Linked DNA regions of Lytechinus pictus. The protein of the gene in region 1 purifies or fractionates together with the protein of each later gene. This does not show direct contact. Links are inferred from orthologs where the notes say so. Each region holds a gene or a part of one and is shown on either strand. Other genes may lie near its edges.

Evidence for each region. Proteins that work in one complex are often made in the same cells at the same time.
Region 2: the proteins of pre-rRNA-processing protein TSR1 homolog (region 1) and bystin-like purify together in Homo sapiens (affinity purification with mass spectrometry; 3 studies listed by BioGRID and IntAct, counting the BioPlex papers as one, with this or other methods). This does not show direct contact. The link is inferred for Lytechinus pictus from reciprocal best matches to the Homo sapiens genes TSR1 and BYSL.

What each region holds. Positions count from the first base shown.
Region 1 is NC_087247.1:46,017,642-46,025,293, forward strand, and holds the start of pre-rRNA-processing protein TSR1 homolog, read right to left. Parts: upstream 3,002-7,652; 5' UTR 2,869-3,001; coding exon 2,766-2,868; intron 1-2,765. Other genes in the region: nuclear transcription factor Y subunit beta-like, read right to left, coding at 6,518-6,538, 7,571-7,638. UniProt on the Homo sapiens protein: Required during maturation of the 40S ribosomal subunit in the nucleolus.
Region 2 is NC_087245.1:8,162,664-8,170,439, forward strand, and holds the start of bystin-like, read right to left. Parts: upstream 3,016-7,776; 5' UTR 2,768-3,015; coding exon 2,624-2,767; intron 1-2,623. Other genes in the region: uncharacterized protein LOC135153137, read left to right, coding at 7,616-7,618. UniProt on the Homo sapiens protein: Required for processing of 20S pre-rRNA precursor and biogenesis of 40S ribosomal subunits. May be required for trophinin-dependent regulation of cell adhesion during implantation of human embryos.

The sequences.
Region 1 (7,652 bases):
CCCCCCCCCCCCCGGGGTGTTTACATGTGCAAGGAAAGGTTATTCCCAATGACATCATTGATTTTACGTAGTTGAATATTTATGGCAGCTGTCCAGACTTGAAAAAAAAAACCTCACTCGGTGATCTTGCAACTCTGTGTGCTAATGGAACTTTGGTCTTGCTTTCAACTTCTTGCTATTCATATTTACAGGTATCATCCCACTCTAAAAGGTATTCATTCCAATAGAACAACATTTCAACTACCGTACATTGTGGTGAAATTTGAAAGAAATCTACTGACGCTAAGTGTGTTTTTTATGTCCGTTTCGGCGATGTCTGTGATTTTTGTTGACTGTTGTTGGGCACTTCCATATACCAATGTATGCGCATTGTTGTTTTCTATTATTAGTGCACCTTGGTCCCAATTAAGGTCACAACTTTTGTTTTTCAAAAACAAAGGAATACATAAGAATTGAAGAGGCGATTTGTGCGAACTTAAAAAACTACCAAAGTTTTAACTTTCTTGTTACTGGGGCTATTGAAATGAGGTATTAAATGAAAGGTCTTGATGAGCTCTAAATGATGCTATGAAGCAAACACCCGATTTCTCAAATTTATTTTTTTGCAACATACCTACACATGCTTTTTCATTTTTTTATACTTTTTTTTATATGAGAAAAAAAATGATGTTAATGGGTGATTTCAAGTACGGTGTTCAGTGTTGGTTTTGGTGTTGAGAGCGTAAAAAGGCCGCTGAACCGAGCTCCAACACCGAGCTGGGTTCAGAGGAACGATACTGATTGCGTTGTCGATAGCACATGACGTCACGCCTCTGCGCTGCTAAATCATCTCAACTTCACGCACCATCCTTCAACACGAACTGCCGGAAATATGTCATATATTCCGAGGTCAATCCCAACACCAGCCTGATTTCAAGTACAGTGTTGTGGCTGGTATTGTCACAACACCAACACCAGGGGAGCGTTTCATCAATATTTTTATCCGACAAGTTGTCAGATCTGACATCATTCTGACATCTTTCCATGATTTTGATTGGCTGAGAGTAGCCAGGCGGCTTCTAGAGAGTAAAAATCATTTACTAACGTAAGGTCACTCTCATGAAGCCAGGCCTTCTATCCCATAGACCCACACAATGGAAGCCAAAACCTGAAACTTTCACCCCCGAGATTTCTACTTTCTTTCTAAAAGATCTAGCCCTAAACAGTAGAGGCGCACGGCCAATATTGGAGACTGTCTCCAATGTGAGAGATTATCTCCAATATCAGAGACTTTTGTAAAGAATTTGGGTATCCAATTTCAGAGACAGTCTCCAGTTTTGGAGTCCAATTTCCTTTGTTTACATTTGCTGCAAAAGGATTACCTTGGCGGCAAATAAAAATGTGATAAGCAGATTCCTCATGAAAAATTACCTCTTTTCACCGTCTACTTTAAATATTCACTGTCTACTTTTGTTTTGATAAGGATTTTTGTTGTCAATCACACACAAAACAAATGGGCTTCTGACCTCAGTGAGACAAAATTTTGGGTGGAAAAAATCATGCTTTTGTTGGTGTTGTTTCTTTTGTCCTTTTGCAAAGCAAGTCTCCAATGTGGGAGATTGTCTCCCCTATTCTATTGGAGAGAGTCTCCCATATTGGCCGTGCGCCTCTACTGCTAAATCATGTACATGGGATAAAACTTCATTTCTGACATTTCTACGCTCTCGTTGTTATTTTTTAACAAGAATTCATCAAAAAAATGAGAGAAATATTGTGTAAAGACGGAAGAGACTCGCCCGATGTTTACGCCGCCATCTTGTTTTCTATTGATTTGTTCTTCGCCAACGTTACAGACGCGTGCGTCGGGTAACGTTGGGGAAGAACAATAGAAAACAAGATGGCGGCGTAAACATCGGGCGAGTCTCTTCCGTCTTTACACAATATTTCTCTCATTTTTTTGATGAATTCTTGTTAAAAAATAACAACGAGAGCATAGAAATGTCGGAAATGAAGTTTTATCCCATGTACAACATGATTTAGGGCTAGATCTTTTAGAAAGAAAGTAGAAATTTCGGGGGCGAAAGTTTCAGGTTTTTTGGTGGTACACGCAAAAGTATATGACGGAAGCCCTGGCTTCGTATGAGAGTGACCTTACGCTACGTTAGTAAATGATTTTTACTCTCTAGAAGCCGCCTGGCTAGCTGAGACTGAGAGTGAGAGGCACTGTTCCTATGGACGGTAACTGTCGGATAAAATGAGACTTGTCGGATAAAACGTCCGACAAGTCCTTTCATGAAACGCCCCCCAGATTTCAACACCGCGCCGTACTTGAAATCACCCACTGGGCCACTGTATTTCTGTAATAATTAATGTTTTTGCATAAGCCATAAAACTAAAACTAAAAGTTAACAATGACTGAGTCATGACATGACTCCATGTTGTTATTGTTAACTTAAATTTAAAACCGATCTTTTTCATTTTATCCAGATGCAGACATAAAAAATCAGAGATCGAAACAAATTTAAGAAAAATGGAAAAATCGGATCGGGAATTGATATAAAAATTTGTTACATTAGTAAAGTTACGTTCTTAAAATAATTAGGGCCTAGGTATTACTATTAGAAATCTTCGACTAATCGGTACCGGCACCACATTAATCTGTACGTGTGGGACTAGGGCTAGTAAGGGAACAACGATGAAGTCTTCAACCGGAAATATCAAATCACCGAGTAAAAGGATTTTCCTGGAAGAGCGACACATCAAAGAAAGTTATAAAAGTAACTTACCCTTTAATTCAACGTCGATTTTGCCTTTACTACGATGTCGTCCAGTTTTGTGGCCTTTATTTTGCTGTTTTAAAGGACCGGGTCTGTGCGATGTTTTCGCCATTTTGCACGTGTACCAATACCCGTACCGCGCGCGCTAGCGCTAGCGAGTATATTTAATTTTTTACTTATTCTATGTTCAAGACTCAGTGCAGTTTAACTGTAGCGAGTTTTCGCTCAGATCAGCGGCGTGCAATGAACATCTATCTCCCCTCTAGCTCTATAGATCAGTGGCAAAGAATTATACAAGATTTCAATTTTTATACAGATTTGACATCAAGGACAAACTTGACTGAACCATAAAATGTAAAAAAACAATGGTAATTCCACATGTTCAGGGAGAAATAAAAATTTGTTTCAAATGACAATGGGGAGAAAATTAGGATATTTCATAAAATAAAACAGAAATAGTGAGCGAGTGATGTCATCAGTTCCCTCATTTGCATACCGACCAGGATGTCCATATTTTAAAAATGTCATAACTTTCTTATTTTACATCCGATTTCAATGACATTTTCAGCGTTATGCTTGTTGGATTTTTCTCTTTTTATTCAAATCAAATTTTGTTGGGGTGGACTTGTCCTTTATTAAAAACCAGATATTTAACTTTTGAGACTTGTGATTTTCTTTTTTGAAATTCATATACCACCTACCAAAAGCCTTTTGGTATCCTTTCTTTTTCAAATTGCTTTCACTAAATGCGTGAATAAGAAGTTACACCAGAGGAAAGAGAATATTCTATGCTTTACAATGAAAGGTAATATGTTGAATGATTTTTTTATTAAGTTATGATAACGCACAGTCAAACCTGCTTCAGCAACTGCCTATATAGAAGGATCACCTGGCTATTTTTAAGACCACAAATTTGGTTTTCCTTGAAGAACTTTACACATTATGGGAGTCTTTCCACAAAGACTGCTTTTCTTGTCTCATTCAACAGGTTTGACTATATGATAAATAAATATCATTATTGTGGGGGATTTTGGAGAGAGGGGCAACTGCATCTGCTCCCCGCTTTCCAGTCCCCCTGGCAGTATTTTCCCCTTCTGCACACACCCTCTCACACAATTACCAATCTTCCTAGACCCATATAGCATTCCGCTAAGTTCTCGTTCCCCTTCTCTCTCCCACACAACTATACACAAACCCACGATGGCCCTGTCTTACAAAGAGTTACGATTGATCCGATCAATCTCAAGTATATGGAAATCCATTAATTTCATATTTTATTTTCACGAAATTGGCTCATTGTCCTTTGAAAACAGAGAGAAGCATACTGAATTGTCAAGAAAAAACAGTGAATGTATGAACATATGTCATTTCTAGAAAATATTTTGAAAATGTACTTTAGATGTTGACTTTTCTGGCTTTCCATAGTTGCGATTGATCAGATCAATCGCAACTCTTAGTAAGACAGGCCCCTGGTCCTTAAAAATTAACCATGTCCAAGTTGTGAAACACATACAAATACACTTGAGAACAACCATTTACAATATATACATCATTATTTTCTAATTAAAATTTCATTTCATGTGTAAGCAGCAAAACATTACAAACAACAGGAATGCCAAGAAAATTTTACACTTTACAGGATAAACAAAATAAATGATCAACAACAGGTCTTCCCATCAGGGCATTGTTTCTTTTGTTATCTTCAGTGATGCATACCAAATTTATCACAAACTTACTCTTCACCAATCAAATGCCACAATTTCAGTATCATAAATATGCATTGTAATTCCAACTACTAATTACAATCTTTGTGAAATGTTGGTCCATTTTTTTTCTCACCCTATTTTCATCTTCATACAGAGTGTGGATTACAATGAAAATTCATAAGAAAATGTTAACTTTGAAAGAGTTGTCCCATCTCCTTTGATAATATAATCATTATCAGGGTTCCCACAAAAATTTGAAAACACCAATTCCATGACTTTACCATGACTAAATTGCTGCTTTCCATGACTTCCTGTGACGTTCTGGGAGTTATGTAGAATTTGGGATGTCACAAAACTGGGAAAAATGGAAATCATGAATACCAATTATAATAGCAGAGTATGAGAGTTACGAATAACGACAAACTGGAAAGCTGCCATAGCCAAGAGGTAAATGCGATTCCATGACTTTTCACAAATTTTCCAAATTCCCTGACTTTTCCCTGACTTTCAATGAACAAAAAAATTTCCAGGATTTTCCATGACTGTGGGAACCCTGATTATATATATAGGTCATGATTTTCCACTCTTGGTCACATTACATTCTCTTCTAAAATCAGCACATCCAGGGAGCGATTTCATATAACTGTTTGTAACTTACACATGACTTTATGCACAACTGGTGATCCTACAATGTGTCAAACGATTTATCCCTATGCAGCTGACTAAATCACCTGAGAATATGTTCCAGTCCTTCATAGAGTCGAACATCTTAAACACCACCCAGTACTTCAGAGACTGAACAGCCAGGTGTTATTCTTTGGTTCATTGCATCAAACAAGAGTTTTAAATTTTATGCGAATGGGACCTTACATAGCATATAATGACTGGGCTTTTCCAGGCAAAGCTTTTCAAACTTTTTTTGGAGGGGGAGGGGTCTATGACCCATGACTGAACTTTTGACCAATCTTCGCACTCAAATCTATATATGTGAAGTTTATCCATCTAATGATTTTTCTGTTACTGTGAGAACAAGATATTTTTAGGTGTATAATGACCTGCTATTGTTTACCTTTGATCTCACGAGCCTAAAATCTTGTTAAATCATCCTCGCTGCCAAATTAACACGTCACTTGAATTTAAAATTGATCCATCAAACTTATTCAATTATTCTAAAATGAATGGACAAAAGGTGATCTAAAAATACAATGCCTCCAGCAATTACCTCTTGATGGCTGAAGGTTACAATTCAGGTGTAAAGGCCTTGAAAACTGAGTTAACCAAATCAATCAATCAATCTCTACTTTTAAGTATTTAAGTAGAGTCAATTCCCCTTATGTTAGAAATGGGAAATTAATTCATTCATCGTGATTTAATCAAAGCATTTGAAATTGTGTAACTTAAGCATGATTCTGTTCTGCAGGGTATTCCCTCATATTCATACTGAAATTTATATTCAAATTTCATATTCTCATGTAAAATATAAATTTGATTTTAACAAAGAGATATAAAAAATAGGATGAATAACCCATAAATAAATGATGAGATAAATATGACATAAAGCCAAAAATTTACAATAAATCTGAGTTATGTATCATTGTTGAAACAATAAAAGGAGTTGTAACTCAAAAGGGAAATAATTTGTTAGTGAGAAATTAAATCAAAATCCACAGAAAACCTACTATGGAAAGTGTAAAAACACATTTTTATTGCATACAGATCAAAACAGCTTTGAGCTGGGGGGTGCAGAGGGGGAAACCAAGTTAACATAAACAGCCAAAAGGAGGGTTACTTTTATACAAGACATCTCTCACAAGTGCTTTCATTTCATGTGCGCATCAAAGTTGTATAATTCTCATAACTAAAAACCTAATCATGCAACTCCTGAAGAGTTCTCTCCTGTGCATGCTAATCCATGTTTGCAATAAAACAAATCTGGGTATGACTCCTGTGCATAAAGATGCCCTTCAGGAATCTAGATCTGACAGCTAACTGCATTCAAGGTGTTGGTCTGACTTGTGATGATGATCAAATTGGCAGCACACCACCAAACAAAGATCACGTAAAGGTCATCGGTATCTGGAAAAGAATATACACACATGCAGATTTCCTTAAGAAAATGAAATATTTACATGATAATTGAACTGACCTTCTTTTGCATGTAAATTGCAAAACGTTAATAAATCTCTCACTTGGAATAAACAATAAGGGACAATAAGGATTCTCTCATGGAACTGCTTACTATTATAATAATATCCCTTTTAAATTGATTAGAAATAACTAAGAGTAACTTGAGCATGGTCAAAGGATGTGATAACGAGAGTGTAAATTTCAGGCACTATCTCATCCTAGAATCAATGCGAATGAAACATTTTGGGTGCAACAAGGTAACATCCTGCTGAAATGCAAAGGCAAATGACACATACTTTTTGTTTCTTCTGTGACATAAAAAAAAACAGGAACTGATTTATTTATTTATTTATTATTTTTTGGACACAATTGCAGAAGAGCCAGACAAGAACAATTCCATCAGGGAGAACTAGTTTCTTGCCTGGGTGATCTCTGTGAAAAGGGTTATCTAATTTACCATTGGCATACATTTTGAAAGAATATTCTTTAAACTTCCTAAGCTCCGCCTCTTCAAAAGAGCTTCAGCACTCATCTTGACCATGCCATCAACTGCTAATCCAAGTCACCATCGCTAATAATTTACAATAGACAATAGTACCGGTATGTCACTTTCCATAGTTCAGCACACGCTTAAAATAGAATTAAATGCTTTCATACAATACCTGTCCATTGCCTTTCTTTCCCTGGTGATGCTACAGCATGTCTGACATTGCACCTTTTCAATGAGACTACGAATAGCTAGTCCGTTCTAGCAAAGCTTCATTCCCTTTATTTAGCTAACAACTGGTGAATTGACATCACTGCCAGAATGAGATAGCTCTTTTTATGGGGTGGCAAGTTGAAATATCCTTTCAAAAATTATTCAATAATCTACACAAAATGTTTTGATGCTTAAATTTTATAACAGCATATGAGTTGCATATTTAGCAATTAACTTAAAAACGATTCAACTTAACAGGGGTCCTTACAAAGAGTACTTACTTGTACTTGAGAAGGATATTGCTGGTAGGCTGGTGTTCCAGCCTGGTCTCCAACCATCAATTCAGTTGCTGAAACAGAAGAA
Region 2 (7,776 bases), on another chromosome or scaffold:
TTATTTGATATTCTGGTAAGAATTTGTGCATTTTCACACCATTATCACCAACCTGCACCCTTCCATCTCAGAGATACCACTATACAGTATATATGAAAAGGTCATTGACCTTGAAAAAAAAACACTTTCCCCATCCCGTATTCCTCCTAACTTTTTTTGGTAAATGTTGACACCCATACCTACTCAAATCAGTTGAAAAACCATTTCCAATAATTTTATTCCAGATTGGCTAGTTTGGGGTCTAATTTAAGGATACTATATCGCTGCCGAGATCGCACATGTTCGCTCTATCACCCAAAAATCTGCAATGGCCTCCGCGGGGGTTCCTTACGGCAGGAAATTTGACACCCTTCCAAATATGGCATGATCCTAAAAATCAAACATATCGGCCGATTGAATTTGAAACACGAGCTGTTGAGGTGCGCGCGCTCGTTTTCAGAACGAAGTTGCATGCAACTGAGCGAAGACATCCGATGTTCGGAGCCAAAACAAAAGAGGTCCATTTGGTAAGTAAACAGGGTTGTTGATTTTTTTGATTTTTTTTATTTAAATCTGATTTTTATGATTTAAATCAGATTTTTTTGATTTTTTTCCAACGAAAAATAATGGTCACACTTAACAAGTTTTAAACTATATTTAAACTGTTTTACACCAATAATAGTGGTCAAGTAGTCTTTTGAACATTGTGTATTGTACTATTTGACACAATAATCCACTTATATACAGGTAATTTTTTTATTTTTTTTTTATTTATTTGCATTATAGAGAGGGACATTTTATGGAAGCCCAAGTAATGTTATGTATTATGTATACATTTAAACTCTTGAAATTTTTATATCAGTCAGTTCAAAACATCCGAAGTGTTACTCCAATGCATGAAGTACTCAAAGAACTTGAGAATTTCCAACAAAATTGACATTATTAAAGGCCTGTTAGGGTTCTTATACTGCCCTTGGGAATTCTAGCTGGGAATATTTCCTAGAATTATCACATGGGGGATTTTAGCTAGGAATATTTCCTAGAACTATCACATGGGGGACTTCCCAACTAACAGCTGGTAATAGCTAATAAACAAAGGGTTTTTGAAAGAATGGGTATTAATAGTAACAAGGAGGTACATACAAGTAGTTCAACTGTTTTGTAAAAGTATCCAAGTTGTGGACTTTGAGCACCTTTGTAGATTTTATATATTATTTTATTGAAGATTTAACAGTTTGGTGTAGATACAGAGAGTTATTTATCATTACTTCGTTAGAAACTTGTTGTTTTCATCAGTTTTGCTTGTTTTACAATTTGAAAATAAAACAGTGGTGTTAAATCAGACTCCATGAGGGTGTATCATTCTTTTAAAGTATCTCTAAAGCATGTGGAACAGAAATGAAAATGATTACATTGAAAGTATCTGTTAAGAAGAAGAGAAAATAGAGAAAACTAATTTTTTTCATAAAAGTTGATTTAAATCAGTGATTTTTTTGAAAAAAATCAAGTGATTTAAATCGCGATTTAAATCATGATTTAAATCGACATGATTTAAATCAAACAACCCTGTAAGTAAATCATCATTATTTACCGAGTTCTATATCAAAATTATTGATAATAATAATAATAATTAAAATCGGCATTTGCACAGCTAAAATAAATTATTTTATCAACAATTAAGCAATTATTTTGGGGTCTAAAAAAGTTAGAGCGTGATGACATACATTATGATATTCAACATTTATACTACAGAAATAAACATTATTTTTATTTGATTCAATGAATGTATTTTATTTTTGGTCCAATTATACTTAAGTGTCCGATATTTGGGCACTTTAGTCTTCTTTACTCTCTAAGTCTCTATCTTGACTTTGGTCTTTGTCATGTTTCAAACAAATTTTATTAAAATCGGATAACATTGTTTGTCAGTAGAGGCGCACGGCCAATATTGGAGACTATCTCCAATGTGGGAGATTATCTCCAATATCAGAGACTTTTGTAAAGAATTTTGGTATCCAATTTTAGAGACAGTCTCCAGTTTTGGAATCCAATTTCCTTTGTTTACATTTGCTGCAAAAGGATTACCTTGGCGGCAAATAAAAATGTGATAAGCAGATTCCTCATGAAAAATTACCCCTTTTCACCGTCTACTTTTTGATAAGGATTTTTGTTGTCAATCACACACAAAACAAATGGGCTTCTGACCTCAGTCAGTCAGTGAGACAAAATTTGGGGTGGAAAAAATCATGCTTTTGTTGGTGTTGTTTCTTTTGTCCTTTTGTAAAGCAAGTCTCCAATGTGGGAGATTGTCTCCCCTATTGGAGAGAGTCTCCCATATTGGTCGTGCGCCTCTACTGTTTGTTATCCGATTTTAATAAAATTTTAAGCATTTTGAATTTGATCTGTGAATTTTACTCTATTTATTTAGATTTAAATATTTTCAGCCCAAAGTATCCCTTAAAGTCTACATTTTATGAAATTGGTACATATACTTTCTAAATTATGACATTTCAAAACCAAAAACTAAACCTTGAGGCTTGAAATTGAACTGTTCGGTTGTCTTCAATCACGACACACACGAATTCCCATGTATGGGACTGATAGTGATACGCCTAGATCTAATTGAGTAAAAAAATGGCCTTACACAGTCCTCTTCATCCTTTCGTCTACGTTCCTTCACTCGTTGAGAGACTTTGAGAGTGTCTTCATTTTCTATTTGCTCTGCCAGTGGTCCACTCGTGAAGACAGGGTCTCCTCTTTTTGGTCGATTCTTCTTTGTTTTCCCCATAATAATATATTACTAATACTATTGTGATGTCAATATCAATTAACACAATTCACGTGTACCGTACCGGTATAAAATATACCGGTACTGTTGCTGTCGACATGTCGCGCTCGGCAGCAGTTGCAGCATGCATGCATGCAGTCAAAGACCTTATAATATATTACGGCATGCAGTAGTATAGTCAGCATAGCATAGCAGCGGTCACGTCAGCAGCTAGCCGAGCTCTCTCTGGCTAGCGCCTGGCGACTAATAAGCACGCGCAAGCAATGAAGCTAGCAGATTAAAAAATAAAATAAAATAAACAAATTTCTTTCTTTTTTGTGGGTATTATAAATGTTGATTTTTTCTAGGCAAATTAAGTCAGTACATTCTGCCTACATGTTTTGTTTTGTTGCCTTGCTAAATTTTGTTGTTTTTCTTTACACTTAAAATTAAAGTTGTTGATCCCCCGGTTGATAAGGGAAAGTAAAGGCGGGCCGCCAGGGGCCCGTTTCTCAACACCGTCATATAAGTCTAACTTCTTGACTAAATCAGAGATAGTGAGCTACTTGTCCGCTAACCGTTTCACGAAGCCCTCTTTACCAAGATCGGGTACAACAACCTCACTAAATATTTTTGACACCTCCGAACCTGTCATTTAAGGGAGGCGCGATAGCTCAGACGGTCGGTAGAGCGGGGGTTTCGGATTCTGGTGACCCGGGTTCGATTCCCAAGTGGTGCGCTAGTGCCCTTTGGTAAGGCACTTATCCCCGCACTTATCCTCATTACCAGGTCCCTCGGAGAGGACCTTAAGCCGTTGGTCCCCTGGTTGCTTGCTCACAGGCATTCGTGCTTTCTTAGCAGTCAGGTAAAACAACCTCTATAACATAACTTCTTTCTTAATGACGTAGTGGCCGGCATCACGTGGGTAGACTATGACATGCAAAAGTGCCTAGAAATTTGAAAATTACAATCTTACGTAAAATGCAATCATAGAGGTTGAAATTACATCACAAAACAAGTGGGATAATGCATTCAATGATCCTTGTAATACAAAGAAAACTATAAATGTATATGTTTTTTTAATTATATTATGATGGTGATGCTGTTTTGTGCGCGGTTCCATGACTACCACAATCATGAATGTTATTATTTTAGTTCTTTTCGCTGTGAGCTTTATTGGATCCCTGAAGAAGACGTATGTTTAACGTCGAAAATTTGGAATTCAAAATAAACTGTTGGAACTAAGTACAATACATTACCACTTTGCCTCATTAATATCATCTATGTCCAACACGCGGAATGTAATATCGTTATATATATATATATATATATATATATATATATATATATATATATATATATATATATATATATATATAAAACGGAGATTATGAAGTTGATATATATATATATATATATATATATATATATATATATATATATATATATTAATCATAGATTTTGAAAGGAGCGTATAGCTCTCAGAAATCTGTCCCAAAAGGTACAGACAAAAAAAAGAAAAGGTTATCACCCAAAATGTAAAGTCATTATAACCCCAAAAAAAAATTTGACAAGCAAAAAAAAGGTTTTCACCAAGAAATGTAAGGTCATTTAGTCCAAAATACATGCATTATTTTTATTGTAAATGATGAATTTTTCTCACTCATAAAATATCATAAATAGTAGGGGGCATTTTATATTGTGTCCCTCTACTATTTTTGTCGACGCCCCTCCCCCCGTCCCCCTGCACCCCCCCCCCTGGGATTTCCGCCCATGCATGCATGAGTGCCCATGATGTGACAAAAAGAGAATTTAAAATCCGTTTCTGAAACAAATCGTGAAAAACACATCTGTTCATGGGCATACGGACTGTGAAACTATACGTGACCTTTCAAAGAAATCAATGCGCTGAAGATGGAGGAAGCGCACTGTAAAAGACGCATCTAAACACACGTTGCCATGACTGCAAGATGACAAAGGCGTTTCTCTGCCTCCAAAACAGGAAAATGAAAAGGCCTCGCCGCCAACAGTCGAGGTTTAACAGTAAAAAGTACCTGAGTAAAATAGAAATAGACTGCTTCGGCACATGGAATAAGATAATTGTAATGGTTTAGTAAATGCCGTATATATATATATATATGACGATATTACGTTCCGCGTGTTGGACATAGAAGATATTAATGAGGCAAAGTGGTAATGCATTGTACTTGTATATATATATACAGTATATATATATATATATATATATAGTGTCGAAAATCTGTCTATCTGACGGTCAATCGGATCGGGGTCGCCCTAGCCACTAACCCGTCTCTGTGGTCTAGTGGTTAAGGCACCGGCGTCAAAGCTGGGGGCCCGGGTTTGATTCCCGGCAGAGACCTTTTTAAGGCATTGCCAATTTTTCCAAAGGGTAGATAGCTCTGGGGAACCTTGATTTAAGCTACGCCTACCATTGTTCTCTTCATCCATTTCTTTCACAAAATATTTAAATAAAAAAGCTGTTGTACATGTATAATTTCACACATTTGTATATATTATATATATATATATATATATATATATATATATATATATATAATTATATATTGTAGCCGAACCGACTTTCTTTCCTGACGAGCTGGTTCGTTTAGGCTGCAATATGCAGTGCGTCCCCCAAAAAACTATACACTTTTGAAATGGCTGCCAAATAAAAAATGTATCACCTCGGGGGAAAGCCAATATACAAAACAAACTGGAAGAAATTGGAAGGCTAATTCAGGCCTATCTAGCCTAATTTCCATACCCTTTGTTTCAGTGGGCACTGCTCGCTCAAGCATGAAAGTTGGCTTTATTGGCTTTCCATATATATAAGTCTCCCCCCCCCCCCCAAGTGATACATTTTTTATTTGGCAGCCATTTCAAAAGTGTATATTTTTTTGGGGGACGCACTGTACAACCAGTTGGTGTAAAGGGCCGTCGGCCTTGCACTTCTGACTCTTTTTAATTGTTCCTTCTCACTCAGTAACTTAGATTATTTTAGCTCATGGATTTCAACATTTCCGTCATTCCGTATCTCCATTATCTCAATCATTCTAGTATTCAGTATCTCCGTAATTTAATCATTTCGGTATCTCAGTAATTTCAGTACTCTCAGTATCCTCACTCATCTCAGTATTTTCCGTATCTCAGTAAAGCCAGTATTCTCACTCCTTCTAGTCAGTACTTCCAACACTTTCATACTTCTGCTTTTCCGACCATTGTTGCTAGCTCCATACAACAAAATAACGACAAGTAAGAAGCAAGCATTCATCTCTAGCTCTTATAACTTTACTGAAGAAATCAAACTCATCCTGTCCCAGCAGGTTCCATTGAAAATTGGGCAGAGTTTCGCGCAGAAACCTCTTTGTCAAGCATATGGCATGGCTCGTAACCGAAGATGTGTGTGTGTATTTGAGTTTTGTCAAACGTGTATCAATCAGATATGATTTTTTACGTTAGGAACGACCTTTAACGCCACCATCCGAAAGACGTGACCAGGTCCCGAACCTCGAACCTCCGCATCAATTTGTAACTTCCCCACATAGCTTAGATTGCAGGCCCACGCTCGATTATGGTCAACTTTTGGTTACCGCCTCTCATCAAATTGTCAGCTATAGGCTGTTAAGCTAGAGCCTGATTAAAAAAAAAAAACAGTTAAATTCATAAAATAAATCTTTCCAGCAACGGCAATGGTGTTTGTCGCTTTTTTTATACCCAAACAGTAAGGAGCAATTAAAAGTAAATAATATGAGCATATAATTGTAAACATCGTTTTTTCTCAGCAAAATAATTAGTAAATTTTATACATTTTAAAGAAAATACCTACATAATCGATTACAAACAATCGATTACTGAATATGCAACTATATATATTACAGGGATTAAAAATATATTCTACGCTCTTCACTGTCACGAACCATACTGAATTAAATAAACCTTTCATTTCGTAACAATATATATAATATATATTGTTTAGGGAGATATGAGTGGCATTAATGCTTCCAAATAATTGAAAATAAATTTTATAAGAAGTCCTTTTCACGATACAAAACTGCCGTTTTCAGGTCAGCATATCAATAAATTTTGCTTGCATTGACAACTTTAGGCTTATCTGGATTCAAATGTCGCTTGAATTAAAATCTGTCCTTCTTCAGATCATATAGCTCGTGCTTCGCACCGCATCATTATATGCCTCTTGTTCATGAATTAAAATGGTGCTGCAGCCTTATGATTTTCAATTCAGATCAAAGAGAAACAAAAAATTTCAGCTCTGGCTTCACGCTCGCATTATTGGTTAAATAATAATTCAAATGACTGCCCCCTTCGGATCAGTAGAAAAAAAAAATCAGCTCGTACTTCGCGTTATAGCATTATTGGTTCAATACAAAGAGATGTATAGTATACATCTCTATGGTTCAATATGATAATCTTGTTCATGCTTCAAATTAATGGTGGTTATGAAGTAGACCCTAAGGCTAAAATGCAGATAGTACGCAGAAAAAATGCAATAAGTGATATTCTCCATCGCAATATCAACCCCAAAATTTCACACAAATTTTTCTGTAATCCACCCCCCCCCCCCCCCCTCCCTTGGAATTGTTGGATCCGCGCCCCATCATTACTTTCTGCACCTTCGAGAAAATTAAAAAATAAATAATTAAATCTTTTTTCGGTCGCTACCGTTACCCTCCTACTATTGGTCGCCGGTAATCGCCAGTTTTTGCCGCAACGCAATAACGCAACGTAAGTTTGCATGTATGATTCAAGTGAGCGTGCGTGTGGGCGATTTTTGACAAAGGAGATTTTTTATTTTACTTTGAAGAGGAAACAGGGAGCAGAAGTAAAAGTTGGATGGTGAGTTGGAAGAAAATAGACTGTAGTGAAGTTTACTTAAAAAGAGTGAAAATTGGCACCGTACTCCAGCCTTAGAATCTAGTCTCTAGAAATTACTTTTGTTGAAGCTCCACATTTCTTGTTGAGAATCTGTACGGTACCGGTACCGGTACGGTATA